2 linked regions of the Schizosaccharomyces pombe genome follow. The protein of the gene in region 1 interacts with the protein of each later gene in a pairwise test. Each region holds a gene or a part of one and is shown on either strand. Other genes may lie near its edges. The genes, in order: php4 and pst1.

Region 1 (4,922 bases):
AATCATCATAATACCAACAAACGTTCGTTTTTATAATCAGAGACAAGAAGATTTTAAGATTTGCAGGGAGGTATACTCATATATAAATTCATTGTATTTTAGAGTACTATCAATTATGTATCTCAAAGAGTATATAGTAATACATGAAATAAAAGTTTTTAAAGTTGAATTATAATTTGATGTTCTATAATTGGGGTGAATGCACCCTAATTGACAATAGAGAATTCTACGAAAAAAATCATGCATCCAGGATAGTCATATAGGATTTTGGTTAAAATTGGCAGCACAATATAGTTTTTGATGCAATTACAGTTAACATGCATAATACTTGTTTTGAAAAAAAGTTATGAATAAAAGCTCAATTGTAAGCACATCACAAAGAACGATTTTTAATCGTAATTGACGATATGTAATTTTGGATTTCATATAAAATTGTAACTACTTATTAAATGATCATTAGGGGAAATAGCGCACACTGTTTTATATCCTCTTCAAATTTACAAAATGAAATTAATCAATTTTAGCAATTTACCTATTTTATATGATTGAATTGAATTGAAAAAACCATGAGTTGATTATGACGCTGAAAGAAAGACATATAAGATCCTTAGGACACTACAACTCTTTCTACTTGAATGCGAAAGTGGATTGGTCTCACCAAAAGATTACCGTACACAAGAACTTCGGTGCTCTAGCAAGTTTTCTTTCAACCAGGGCAATTGCAAAACGAAGAAATTCTAGTGGTACACCACACTGTTAAAAAAAATTGACTAGCATATTAACATTGTTAGATTATTCACTTTTTAAATTTGGAAATACGAAGCTTCAAACATAAGCCATAATAAACACAGTGAAGGCTTTAGCATTAAATTTATTAAAAACACTGCTTAGCAGTTTGTAAAGTCAAATGTTTGCTATGAACATTTTGAGTAAAAATATAACAAAGATTTATTCTTTTCTATACAAATCAGAAAATATATAAAAACAAAACATATAGTGAAATTAACATATATAACAGAAAAGGAAGCAATGTAATGAACAAAGCGATCTAGACTAGAATATGTCAAGGAAACATACTTTACGACGTACAGCCAGTCTAGTGAGTAAAAAAAAAACACACTCTTAAAACAAATACCAAGAACACGAAAAATAAAATGTTGTAATATTTCTGAATGTATTGGTTCAAATACCAGTAGTGAACGTTAGTATTAACAGAAAGAAATCCAAAAAGAACGAAAATGCACAACGAATAAAATAGTATGAAGCAAGATAATTAAGTCCGAAAATAAAAATTCCGTACCATGGAAAAAGGTAATGGAGATCACTTACAAACAGAAAAGTCGCTGCTGAGATGCAATAACAAGAGGAGATGAGAGATGACAAAAACTTTTGGGAAACTTAGGAAGAAGAGGATATGGAAGTGACGGGACGAACATCGTTAAAATTTGGTTCCATGGTAGGAAGTTTGAAGGCGATTGAAGGACCTGCCTTTAACATCGGAGCAGACTTCGAGGACTTGTGTAAGTCAATAAGTAGTTGAGCATAAACCTTGGTTTCCTCGGATTCACGGACACGTTTAACAGATTTAGGGCTTCCAGAGTACAAACATCCTTCTACACTATTGCAAACACCACGTTTACGTATCTTCTCCATTACTGCTGGGTTTTCAGGTGTAAAATTAATTTCGTTTTGGGGAGACATAGATACACGAATTCTTCCATTTTCGGATGGAACGGACTTTGCATCTTTACTGTCACTATCCACACGAATTCTCTTGGCCGAATCACCCAAGAAGGCATGAGGATCTAGCTCAATGGGAATCTCTGTATAAACGGCATTCTTAGCACAGGGCGGCTCGACCGGATAATTGTACTGATTTACATAACGGTTTTCATTCTCAGTAGTCGCAGAATCTGGCTTGACAACTTCAGAGTTTACTTCGACTTCCTTGGGGCTATCCAAAGTAGAATTCTTCAACTGAGCCTGCAGCATCTCCAACTGCTCAAGCAGCTCGTTGTTCTCCTTCTGTAACTTTCCGATCGTATCCTGATATTGTTTTTCACGAACACGGAATTTGGCTTCCTCGACCGACAAAGCTGAAGTCGGCCCAGGTCTTGGTTTAATAGGTGCCTTTCTTCTTCCCAGAGCATCTAACGCAGGTTTCCTTCCTGGTTTGGGACGAGGAGGAACAACCCATTGTTTAGAGACGCGAATCATCGGCTTTTGAGGTGCTGGAGAAGCAGAAGATGATTTTTCCACTTCCGATGGACTTTTAGACGATTCCATGAGCAAAAAAAAAGTTGGGGGGATAGGAGATATCAAGTACAGAACTACACTTTTAGCAAAATATATAAATCTTTATTTTCCAATACTCCAATGCCTCTACTGACCAAGCTTAAAAATCTCACTTTTTCAAACGTTTGTCGTTGGTGGTTTGTTTTAATCTGATAAAGAGATACGATTAAATTATATCTGATCTAAGTGCCGTGTGGTTCGATGATTGTACTGTTAACCCGGTATGCAACACCTCGTTATATCTTTAAAGACTCAATTTTCGGGAAAAAACGGATTAGTGAACAGGTCGGCTTAGAGGCGCTGTTGACATACATTCTCAATACCCATCATTTCAGTTACAGAACCAATTAAAAAACGCGGGTATGGTGGACATCATCTGATTAAAACCGATCGACCTAATAAACTCTGGGCTCTGGCTATGTAATACTACAATCATTCGGCACACCAACTATCATAGTAATGCTTATCCATGTTACTTTTTTGGAGTTAAATTAATGTTCTGACTCACTGCTTTTCTCATGTCATACCGTCCTTTGAAGATTATTTAACATTTGTTTATATTTTTGATATAATGAGATGAAACGAAAGTGCACTAACACATGTGACTGTTTTTTGACTCCTAGTATATAAGAAATGTGAGTGAGTTAAAACAAAGCTTCATCTCACAAAATAATGAATTACTGATGTCAAAAAGTCTGCTCTCTTCTAACGCGGTTATAATATAGAACCGTATTAATGGTTGCAGCTTTTTCCTCTTCATGGAATCGGTATAGATTATGTCGGGGAGACCGACAGCATAGCTTAAAACCATCGTGAAGTCGTTGCTTCGTGCCATGGCTCGTGATGACCGAATGCTACGTACAGTTTTTATATTTTATATCATTTTTTAGTTTGATTTATGTTGTATTCAGTTATTGTTGTAGTTAAAATACGTTGTTTTAATAATTCACGTTGTTTCGTGCCTTCTCAATGAATATCATTTTTTTGTAAGCATCATATGTCTCATGTACAGTAGTGGTAAAAAGAATAAAGGTTGCTATGCACGCAAGGATGGAGTGAATGTATGGATACTTAGCTACTCAGTTTATCCAAATGGTTTCGATAAAACTTCAAGCACAATCTTAAATTAAAGTTACTTTGCAAATTCATCAACGGGATTGCGATTGTCGTGAAAAATTTAATTGATTATTAATAATTCAATTATAAAAATATGAAACAAAAGAGCTCGAAAAAACATTACTTATAAGAAAAATCGAAACAGCGCTAAAACATTTACTGTAAAGCTGAGGAACACCGAAAATAGCAAAATTTAAATCTTCAAGCTACTCGTACCCTGAATACTCAAGGCATATATAGTACCATTAGCTGATTACAACTCTTGAACCTATCATGATGTGCCTTGTTGTTCTTTCCCTTAAGTCTCTTTTCCCGAATTTTGTAGATCAGCAGCCTCCTCGATCTTTTCCTTAACATCTTTGCTGTCAACTTTTTCAGCCTTTTCATTTGCCTCTTTATTATCATCCTTCGCAGGCTTCTCGTTAGTGTCCTTACTGTCAGTCTGTTCGACTTTGTCCGCAGTTTCTTTGCTATCGGTCTTTTCCTCCTTGTCATCGACCTCTATACTATCAGTCTCCTTAGCCTTGACATCGGCCTCTTTACTTTCAGTTTCTTCGACCTTGTCCTCAGTTTCTTTGCTATCGGTCTTTTCATCCTTGTCATTGGCCTCTATACTATCAGTCTCCTTGGCTTTGACATCGGTCTCCGTTTTACCAGTGTCTTCATTTGTTATCTTTGTATCTTTCTCCTCAACATCCTTATGAAGACTAGCTTTGTTATTTTCGTCCTTACTCTCCTTTTCTTCCCCAACGTCAGATTTCTCTTCTAAATTGGCTTCCGAATCAGCATTCTTGGCTTCAGTTTTCTCAGAAATTTCAGCTGTATCAGACACATCGGATGCTCCTTTACCAACAGCAGGCTCATCAGTTTCGGTTTTTTCGGCTTCAACAGAGGTAGAGTCCTTTGGCTCAGATGTTAGTACCTTGGATTTAGCATTGGATGATCCCATTTGTTCTTCTGATACGGTCTCAAGCGTGCGAGCGGCTTGCTTTCGTGACTCGTCGGGTTTTTTTTCCACTACAACTTCCTTAGTGCTTGCAGTAGGCTTACTTGTGTCTTTTTTCATCTCTAACTCTTCATTGTAAGCTGATTCAAGATCACTATCATCGAGAGCAAAAGCAGAATTAGCGACTTCAATCGCACCATTGCTATCCAAAATGAAGGATTGTCCCTCCACAAAGGCGGCTGAAGAACTTGATTCTACGGAGCGACGGTTGGAGTTCAATGAAGATCGCCTCATCATTGGAGATGAAGATGATTCTAAGCGAAGTCTCTCAAAATCTTTCTCATTCAGCATGTGTGGATCAGATTCATATGGGGGAAGCGTAATGGCTGTTCCTGGTCGAGAGGGTTTACGACGTGGTAACGAAGGTGGTCGTTCTTCATATGCGGATTCCAAAGTAGCAGCAGTAGATCTTCTTGGAGAAGGATAAATTTTAGAAGGTGCAGAATACTTTTCATCATCATCGTCTTCTTCCTCACCATCAAATTTGGAAGCGATATTCTCCACC
Region 2 (8,355 bases), 540 kb from region 1:
TGCAATTATTTACATGAAAATGGGGAATGCTGAGCAGAATAAGTGTAAACTGAACTCGGGTTCTTATGGAAAATTCGGTCTGTTGTAAATTCCGTTCCAAGAACTTTATACCATTGAACGTAGAATGACCTATAGTTTAATGATTGAAGAAGAAAAATGTAAAGACGGAATAATAAACGTAGTGTAAACAATAGGTGTGCTGCAATATCTCAAATAGTAATTATATCACCAAAACTCTTGCTTAGCTATTAATTGATATATACTAGTATTCAGAAAAGAAAACCAATTAGCTTTCTAAATCTAAGCGTGTTTTTTATGAGTAAGGGAATTGCATGCTATTCATATACGTTGAAAAGTTGGGTACTTTTGCTAAAAATCAAACGACTTTCGTCCACACCCATAAAGACGGAGCGCGGATTACGCTAGCCGCGACCAAACTTCATATTACCGCTTTGCTTGGTAGAGATCAAGAAAAACTCTCAGCAAAAATTGATTCTTTACTATTAAAATACAATTGAAGCACTATTCACTGTGGTAATTTGAGATTGTTCGAAACAAAAAAAATATTTATTATAATAAATTCCTTGTTACGCCAAAGATTATTTATTGAAACAAAATATATAGGTACAGCAGATTCATAGATTATAAAGAGAATAACAGAAATGATAACAAAACAGAGATAGATGTCCTTTAAATTTGATAATTACGTAGAAAATTAAGTAAAATGGTAATGCCGAAAATGCTTAGAGAAGAAAACAAAAACTTTTGGGGGTATTAGCTGCAATACTAACAATGGCTTGCAAGAACAGATTAGGGAATTGGGGAGTTATGCACAAACTAAGATGGGAGCAAGAAATGATATAAATGATATCGAGGAAAACAGAAATGGATAAATCTACAGATCATCCTTGGAAGGCTCTTCTTCCATCGTGTTGTCGGCGTCCAGCGTCTCTTCAGTTTGATCGTCCATATCAGTTTTATCGTCCTCATTATCAGCATCATTCTCTGCCGTTTGTTTTACACTTGTAAACACTGGTGATGGGGATTTCTTTTCAGAAGATCTCTCGGGGCGATGACTTGAAGTCTCAAAGTCAGGAGCTGTAGACTTCGCTACGTCGTGATCATCTTCAACGTCTGAAGCATGTTTTGCAACGGGAGACATGCTGCCTTCCCGATTTTTCTCCTCATCCTCAATGGATTCTTTTTCTTTTTCTTTTTCGGAAAGATTGATCTTATTTGAGCTGTCATCGTTATTACGCCCATTGCGAGCTTTCAAATTAGTCTTGTTTCCTCTTGTTACAGAAGATTTTCCATTTACTTTCGGTGGCAGCCCTTTGTCTAGTTTCTTTCCGTTCCCAGATTCATTAAGCAAATTTTTCCCCTTTTTACCTATGCTTTCAACACCTGCGTTTTCAGAAAACCGCTCAGCCTTGCCGGAGCGAAGAGTGGATTCATTGAATAAGCTTTCTATGGTACAAGGCTTGATACGTCTTACCTTATCTTTGGAGAGACCTTGTGTCCAGCCTTCATCACTATTAAGCCATTCACGCCATTTTGATTGCCGGTAATCACGAATTTTATCATAAGGACCATTATACACTTGCTCAGAATTTCTAGCAAATACATCTTCGGTCCCATTTTCATATCTGATTTTAACGGTATTAATTGGTATTGTCAAGGCTAGTCCTGATTCCAAGAAACTAGTAATAATAGCATTTGCACTTTTTACCACGGAACTAGACTCGTCATCCTCATTTCCTTCATCTGAGGGCAAGCATTTTCGAAGGAATGGTATTCGAACATGCTCAGGTAATATGCCTTCAGTCGGACTCGACATTATGTAACTTCCAATGTAATAGCACCACTTTTCTGCATCCGACTTGAGAGTTCCCATTGTTAGATCTTCGCGTCCCATTAGCCTTATGGCTGATTGTCGAGTTTGTGAATTCCAATCAATGCAACATAAATTTTCATCTGGTCCAAACGCAGTCTCTGTTTGTATCCGATACATGATTTGTTGACGAGGACTAGTACGTCTTTGTACTCGATCTTTCTCGTAATACATGAAAACTTGAGCCAAGCGACGGTTGGTTGTAACGGAATGTAGTTGTTTAATAATAGAAGTGACCAATTTTTCAACGGTGTATAATCTAAAAGCATGAATACCGTAAAGACAACGTAAAGCATCTTCAAACCCATTTTGATCAATTTCACCTTCCATCAAGCGTTCGCACAACTGAATCGCTTGCTCGTAAACAGTGTCAGCTGTAGGTAAAGCAAAGCCAAGACGTTCAGAAGGATGGCGAACTAATCCGAGCTCAACTGCGACAGGATTGGATTTGACATCATGTTGCTTACTATAAGCCATTTGCTCAAGATTTTTAATCTCTTCTAACCTTGAATATAAAGTGTGGAACAAACGAAAAAAACAATACAGGCTCATGTTTCCAAATAAATTATACACAGAACGATCAGACAATTTTGTTCCATCGTCAAGGAGACTACCATCAGTATCGGTAAATTTACAATTCACCCAAACTTCGCCAGTTGAAAAAACTGATGAAGACTCATCGTCATTTTCCTCATGCTCACTAATATGTTCATCAATTTCACTGGCGTCAGGTGTCCTCTCAGTACTTTCTGATACATAATCTTCCTTAACTGAACTTCTATTTTCACGAGCTCCTCTATAAGTCTTCTTTAATACATCCTTCAAAAGCCTTAGGCCATTGTTGTTAGCATGGTGAATGGGCGAACTGGAAGCTCTCGGTTTTTCTATGAGACTAGATGACAAAGAATCAATATCAGATTCCTCTTCGTTAAAATGAGTGGGAAGATAAGGAATAAACGAGTCATAGGGAACATCGAAAAAAAGTGAAAGAAACGACCGAAGAAAATTAGACATCTTCTCGTTATCCTCAGCAGAGTGAGTTGAACCATGAATCAGAAAAACCCCAAACAAACGAGCAATATCAGTAATAATATTGGGGTCCTTGTAAGAAAATAAAAATTGGTGAGAGGGTGTGACTTTCCCTTCTGATAGTTCAACTTTCTGCTGCTGGGCTAAATTACGAAGCTCAGAAATAAGGAATTTGGGAGTGGTACTTTTCTTGTCAACACTTTTAAATGATACTCCCTGATGGTCCAAACTTCGATAAAAGTTTTTCTCTTCTATATCATGCCAAAGTTCATTCCAATGGTTTTGAAGCGATCTCCATTCTCTATCTTTTTTCTTCAAACGTTCCAAAACAATTGGTATGGTTACCGAAGGGTTTTTCTGCAGATTCTCGATAATTTGCTGTGCATGTTCTTTTCCGTAAACTTTTTTAATGACCTTATGATAAATCGAGACAGACTTGCCTCCTAGATTAGATGGAAGAGTCCAGTTTGCCTTTTCAACTTCACTCATTTTTAACATTTTGTCAGCATGAATTTGTAAAAGTTCTATAAAACGCATGTTAGCACCAATATGACGATCATATTCATATCTTTCCTCCTCTAGTTTATGTAAATTTTCCTCAAATTGATTTTTCCTGTGTGCAATAAATCCAGAATCCTCTGAAGCCAAAGTTGGGAAACTAACCCATGCATCATTCAAAATTGTCCAGCATAAATCATCCCTACCCGAGCAAGGAAGCAAAAGCTCGATTTTTGGCAATAAGCGGTAACTTGGTCCACAGCTTTTGCATTGTGTAAGATCTACTCTAGGTCTAGGTACAGGGATCGGGTTTGCAGGATTATATTTGACCAAGTCCTTTAACCAGTTCATTAAGTGCTCATTACTACCGAAAAAAACATAGCACCTCTCAACGAGTGCGTTTTTATCAAAAACCTCTTGAGAATAAAGTTCCAAGAGTTTAATAAATTCATTGTACTTTGATTCATTGGCAAGATATTGGCGTGCATGCTCCAAAAACTCAAGTTCTGAGGGATTTTTGTTTTGTGCTATAGGTACGTTAAATGCACGTGGTGTAGTCTCCTCAACGGAAGAAGTAGCAGTCCTAGTTCTTTTGGAATGATTTCTAGTCTGCACAGCAGGTTCTCCTCTACGCTTTTCAGGTGCAGGTTGGGCTTTGGCAGTAGTGGGTGGAGCAAATTTACCAATAGGGGGGAGTGCACTCGTAGGAGTGGCTGATGGAGATCGTTTTGGAGTGGCAGTAGCTGATTCTTGAGGCACTACTGTAGACTTGTCCTGAGTTTCGGCGGGAGCATTAACTGATACGTCAGGTAAAAAACGCTTGAACTCCTCTAATAAGTCAGGAGCTTCCGCAAATAACTGAGATACTTGAAAATAGACAAGTTGTATAGGTCGTTGATCGTGTTGGTATGATTTTAGGATGTCTAAAAACGAGTTATAGGCTTCAGGTTTATGGGAAAACCGATTTTTAACATTATTAACAAAATTAATGGCTTGGTCGAGATCGGCAGCCTGTTTCACAGATGCATCAACTGGAGGATATGATGGAGCAGCTGGAGAAGGAGAGGGGTTAAATTGCAATGTAGATGGAGCCGGAGGTTGCAAAACAGGATGAGAGGCTGACGATTGTTTCATATTCATGGAAGTATAAGAGGCAGCCGCAGGAAGAGGTGTAGTTGAACCATGTGGAGGCGGAGGAGCAGTGGTTTTACCTAAATCATTGATCATTAGAGGACCTTGAGGCGTAGTGATATGGATTCCTGCCAAAGATCCAGGATCTGCACTGCTTATTTCAATGCTGTATCCAGGAGGTAAAAATGTATTAAAACCCTGAATCAGATTTGGGTATCCAGCAAATAATTTTGAAACTCTGGTAATGACTTCTGGTGTTTCAATCGCCTGCGATTTGAACTCTTTCATGATATCTAAAAACTCATTATAAATTTCGGGTTCTTGATGAAACTGCAATTTAACAAGATCCAGGTATGATAAAGCATCTGTGACATTCAACTGTCGGTACTCTTGAGGAGGTGGAGGTGGAGCAGAAGGATTTTGATTAGGAACAAAAGGAGAAGCAGAAGATTTTACAGTGCCTGGTCTAGGAATATTAGAATCAGTAGAAGAAAGTATGGTCGGTTGTTGCTCAATGGCGCGAGCGGGACTTGCTGAGATCACAGTAACATTAGGGTGCGACTGGGGTTGTGGTGGGGGAGGAAGCTGCGAAGGCGGCCCACCATAAACAGCAGCATACCCATTTGCAGGATTCGGTATGGCTGTATGAGACACTTGTGTATTTACATTACGGTAAAGTAAACGCCCCGTTGCCGGATCGTATACTGGACTGATAGAGTTGAATAAAGGGAATGGAGGTGGTCCTTGTGGGTTGGTGTGAGGAGGGGCCTGAGTAAATAAAGGTGCTAATCAAATAATTAGTATTTTTATACAAATATATTTTGTAATTAGTAGTTTCAAGTAAAACAAATCCTACTGTTTACAATAAAATCAATATTGTTTTACATGTCAAAACCATAACAAGTTAGAGCAAATTACATACCATTACCGGGATGATAGGCCATCGTCCCAGAAGGAGTCAAGTAAGGTCCTGTATAATTTATTGCGACATTGGAATAATCTTCAAGCCTGTGGCATTGGCCTAAACGTGCATCTTGCCAGTCTTTTGCCATCCCAAAAGTTGTTGGTATAGAGCATGTCGGTCCTGGCCACGTAACATGGTTGACATACTCTAGCGATTTAAGCGGGATACGCGATCCATAAACGAGAGATTTTTCAAACGCGATTGGAAGAAAAGGATTTACCGAGGTAATATTTCGAGTAACATTTTTTCAAGTAACAAAAAAGAAGTAAACAACCCAAAACCGAAACGGCCGTCTTGGATATGAAAGTGAGTGCTAGAGGACTATGACCTGGTATGCGGTTTCTAATATTTTGGCAGCAAGTACTTTTAGCTGAAAATTCAATCCCCGAAATTTTCTGATTGATGTGTAAAGGAGAAACATCAGGCCAAACTGGATCAAGCAATATGAGGATTTTATTAAAAGTTTTCAAGATTAAGCGCTGAATCAGCAGATTGATAGTTTATTACAAACATGGTAGAAGAATTAGATAAAAAAATTTTATTATTACTTTTTTTTCTTCTGAAATCGACTAATTTATAATGCTTGAATGAGAAAGTCATTAAATTGATGAAATTGTTCTAACGTTTTCCAATAGTATAGTGAAGGCGTACATTGTCATTGAAATGTCCTGGTCAACCCTGATATTTAATAGAAAAATATTATTTATTTTTCAGTCTGCTGTTTTGTGTATGAAAAATTAGTTCATTATTTAAGGAGAAAACACACAAAATAGTCTGGATAATCTTAAGGAAAATACAATAAAAAAACAATAAAGTAGTAAGGTTTAATAATATCCCAAATTCTTTTATGATTAAGAAACAACCGAAAATTTTTTTAATCAATTGTTTTGAATACTTAGGGTGAACCAAAAGACCCTTCATCAATTTACACCACCTCAATTTAACATGTTCATCGTAACTTTCTTGTCTTGGCCATTAAATTACATTCAATAGAATTTTTGCAACCGTTATGCAAGAATGTTTACATCTCCATTTTTAAGTGTTATTTATACTTTATCAATTGCAAAGTTCTGCAGAAAGCTGCCTTTAGAAATTTATGAGTCTAAACCTTTGATTAAATTAGACTCTCGTTTATATTGCTTCTCACCATCAAAGTCCTCTATACAGTGATGACAAAGCGGCTGACGGATTGTATATATTTATGCACAGATCCTTAAGCCCCACCACCTTCACTGAACGACCACCAACTCTTCCTTAGTATTGGAAAAGTCGATTTTACTTATCAATGTGGTAAGCTATTTGTTTGTTTTATATCTATTTAAATATTTGATCGTCCTTTTATGCTAATACGAAGCTAGTGGTATCTTTGGATATATTAATTATTTGGTTGAACGAGACCGTGGATATATCCTCAAAACACTCGTTAAAGGTAAATTAAAATCGTTTATATTGTTTTTAATATGTCAATTTCTGAAATGCTTAAGTTGTGGATTGCTTTCGATCACAGTGATTACGCTTTGTTTGTGATGTGTTCTCTCTCATGACATTTAATCTATCTGCTACTTCAATTTTCTGTTTACTTATTAAACAAAAGTATAAACAAATTAAAACTCATTTTACTAATTCAGGTTTAGGTCTCAAACGTCTGGAATATCGGGGTTATGATTCTTCAGGATGTGCTGTCGATGGAGATGAAGGTGAAGACTTCATCATGTTCAAAGAAGTTGGCAATGTTAGTAAATTAGAGGCATCTATAAAAGGATCGAACGTGAATAAATCCACTAAATTTATCAACCATTGCGCCATTAGTCACACCCGTTGGGCAACTCATGGCATCCCTTCTCCCATTAATTGTCATCCCCAGCGGTCTGACCCTCATAGTGAATTCATAGTCGTTCATAACGGTATTTTAACCAACTATCGTGAGCTACGCACCGTTCTTGAATCGAGAGGCATGGTTTTTGAAAGCGAAACCGATACTGAATGTGTGGCTAAGCTCGCTAAATTTATTTACGACACTACTCCAGGAGTTGACTTCACATCACTCGCTAAACTCGTCTTTCGTGAACTTGAAGGTGCCTACGCTTTACTCATTAAAAGCAGTCACTACCCTGGTGAAGTGGTCGCAACTCGTCGTGGTTCTCCATTAATAGTTGGTGTCAAAAGTGAGCAAAAGCTCAAAGTTGACTTTGTCGATGTAGAATTTCCCGAGCCTGCAGAAGGTCTACCTGGAACTCCTAAACCCACCAGCTTGCATCCAGTTTTTTCCAACCCAGCTACCAATGGTATGCTTCGTGGTGACAAACCCGACTTGTTACATCGCGCTCAAAGTCGTGCTTTTGTATCGGGTGAAGGAGTTCCGGGTCCCATAGAGTATTTTTTCGCATCTGATGCTACTCCCATCATTGAGTACACTAAGCGTGTGATGTTTCTAGAAGATGATGATATAGCACACGTTCGCGATGGTGAATTACATGTTCATAGGTTGCGTCGTGAAGGCGGTGGTAGTACGACTCGTACCATTGAAACTTTGGAGATGGAGATTGCCAGTGTTATGAAAGGAAACTATGACCATTACATGATTAAAGAAATTTGTGAACAGCCAGATAGCCTGTTAAATACCATGCGGGGACGTGTTAATTTTGTAAACAGGCTTGTTACATTGGGTGGTTTGGAAAGTTATTATGACATTATTCGCAAAAGTCGTCGCCTAATTTTCGTGGCTTGTGGAACCTCCTACCATTCATGTGTAGCCGTTCGTCCTTTGTTCGAAGAACTCACTAATATCCCTGTAGTGGTGGAGTTAGCGTCTGATTTTGTGGACCGTTGTCCATCAGTTTTC

Evidence for each region.
Region 2: the proteins of php4 (region 1) and pst1 interact in a two-hybrid assay, tested with the Schizosaccharomyces pombe proteins (one large-scale study listed by BioGRID).

What each region holds. Positions count from the first base shown.
Region 1 is NC_003423.3:1,914,452-1,919,373, forward strand, and holds php4 (CCAAT-binding factor complex repressor Php4), read right to left. Parts: upstream 2,442-4,922; 5' UTR 2,287-2,441; coding exon 1,399-2,286; 3' UTR 924-1,398; downstream 1-923. Other genes in the region: SPOM_SPBC16E9.02C (CUE domain protein ), read right to left, coding at 3,710-4,922. UniProt on the Schizosaccharomyces pombe protein: Component of the transcription regulatory CCAAT-binding complex. Required for the reprogramming of the cell for iron use. Down-regulates pcl1, sdh4, and isa1 underlow-iron conditions.
Region 2 is NC_003423.3:2,449,298-2,457,652, reverse strand, and holds pst1 (Clr6 I prime and Rpd3L histone deacetylase complex subunit Pst1), read right to left. Parts: upstream 5,626-8,355; 5' UTR 5,602-5,625; coding exon 5,472-5,601; intron 5,337-5,471; exon of another isoform or gene 5,335-5,336; coding exon 896-5,334; 3' UTR 534-895; downstream 1-533. Other genes in the region: gfa1 (glutamine-fructose-6-phosphate transaminase), read left to right, coding at 6,799-6,803, 6,872-6,942, 7,148-8,355.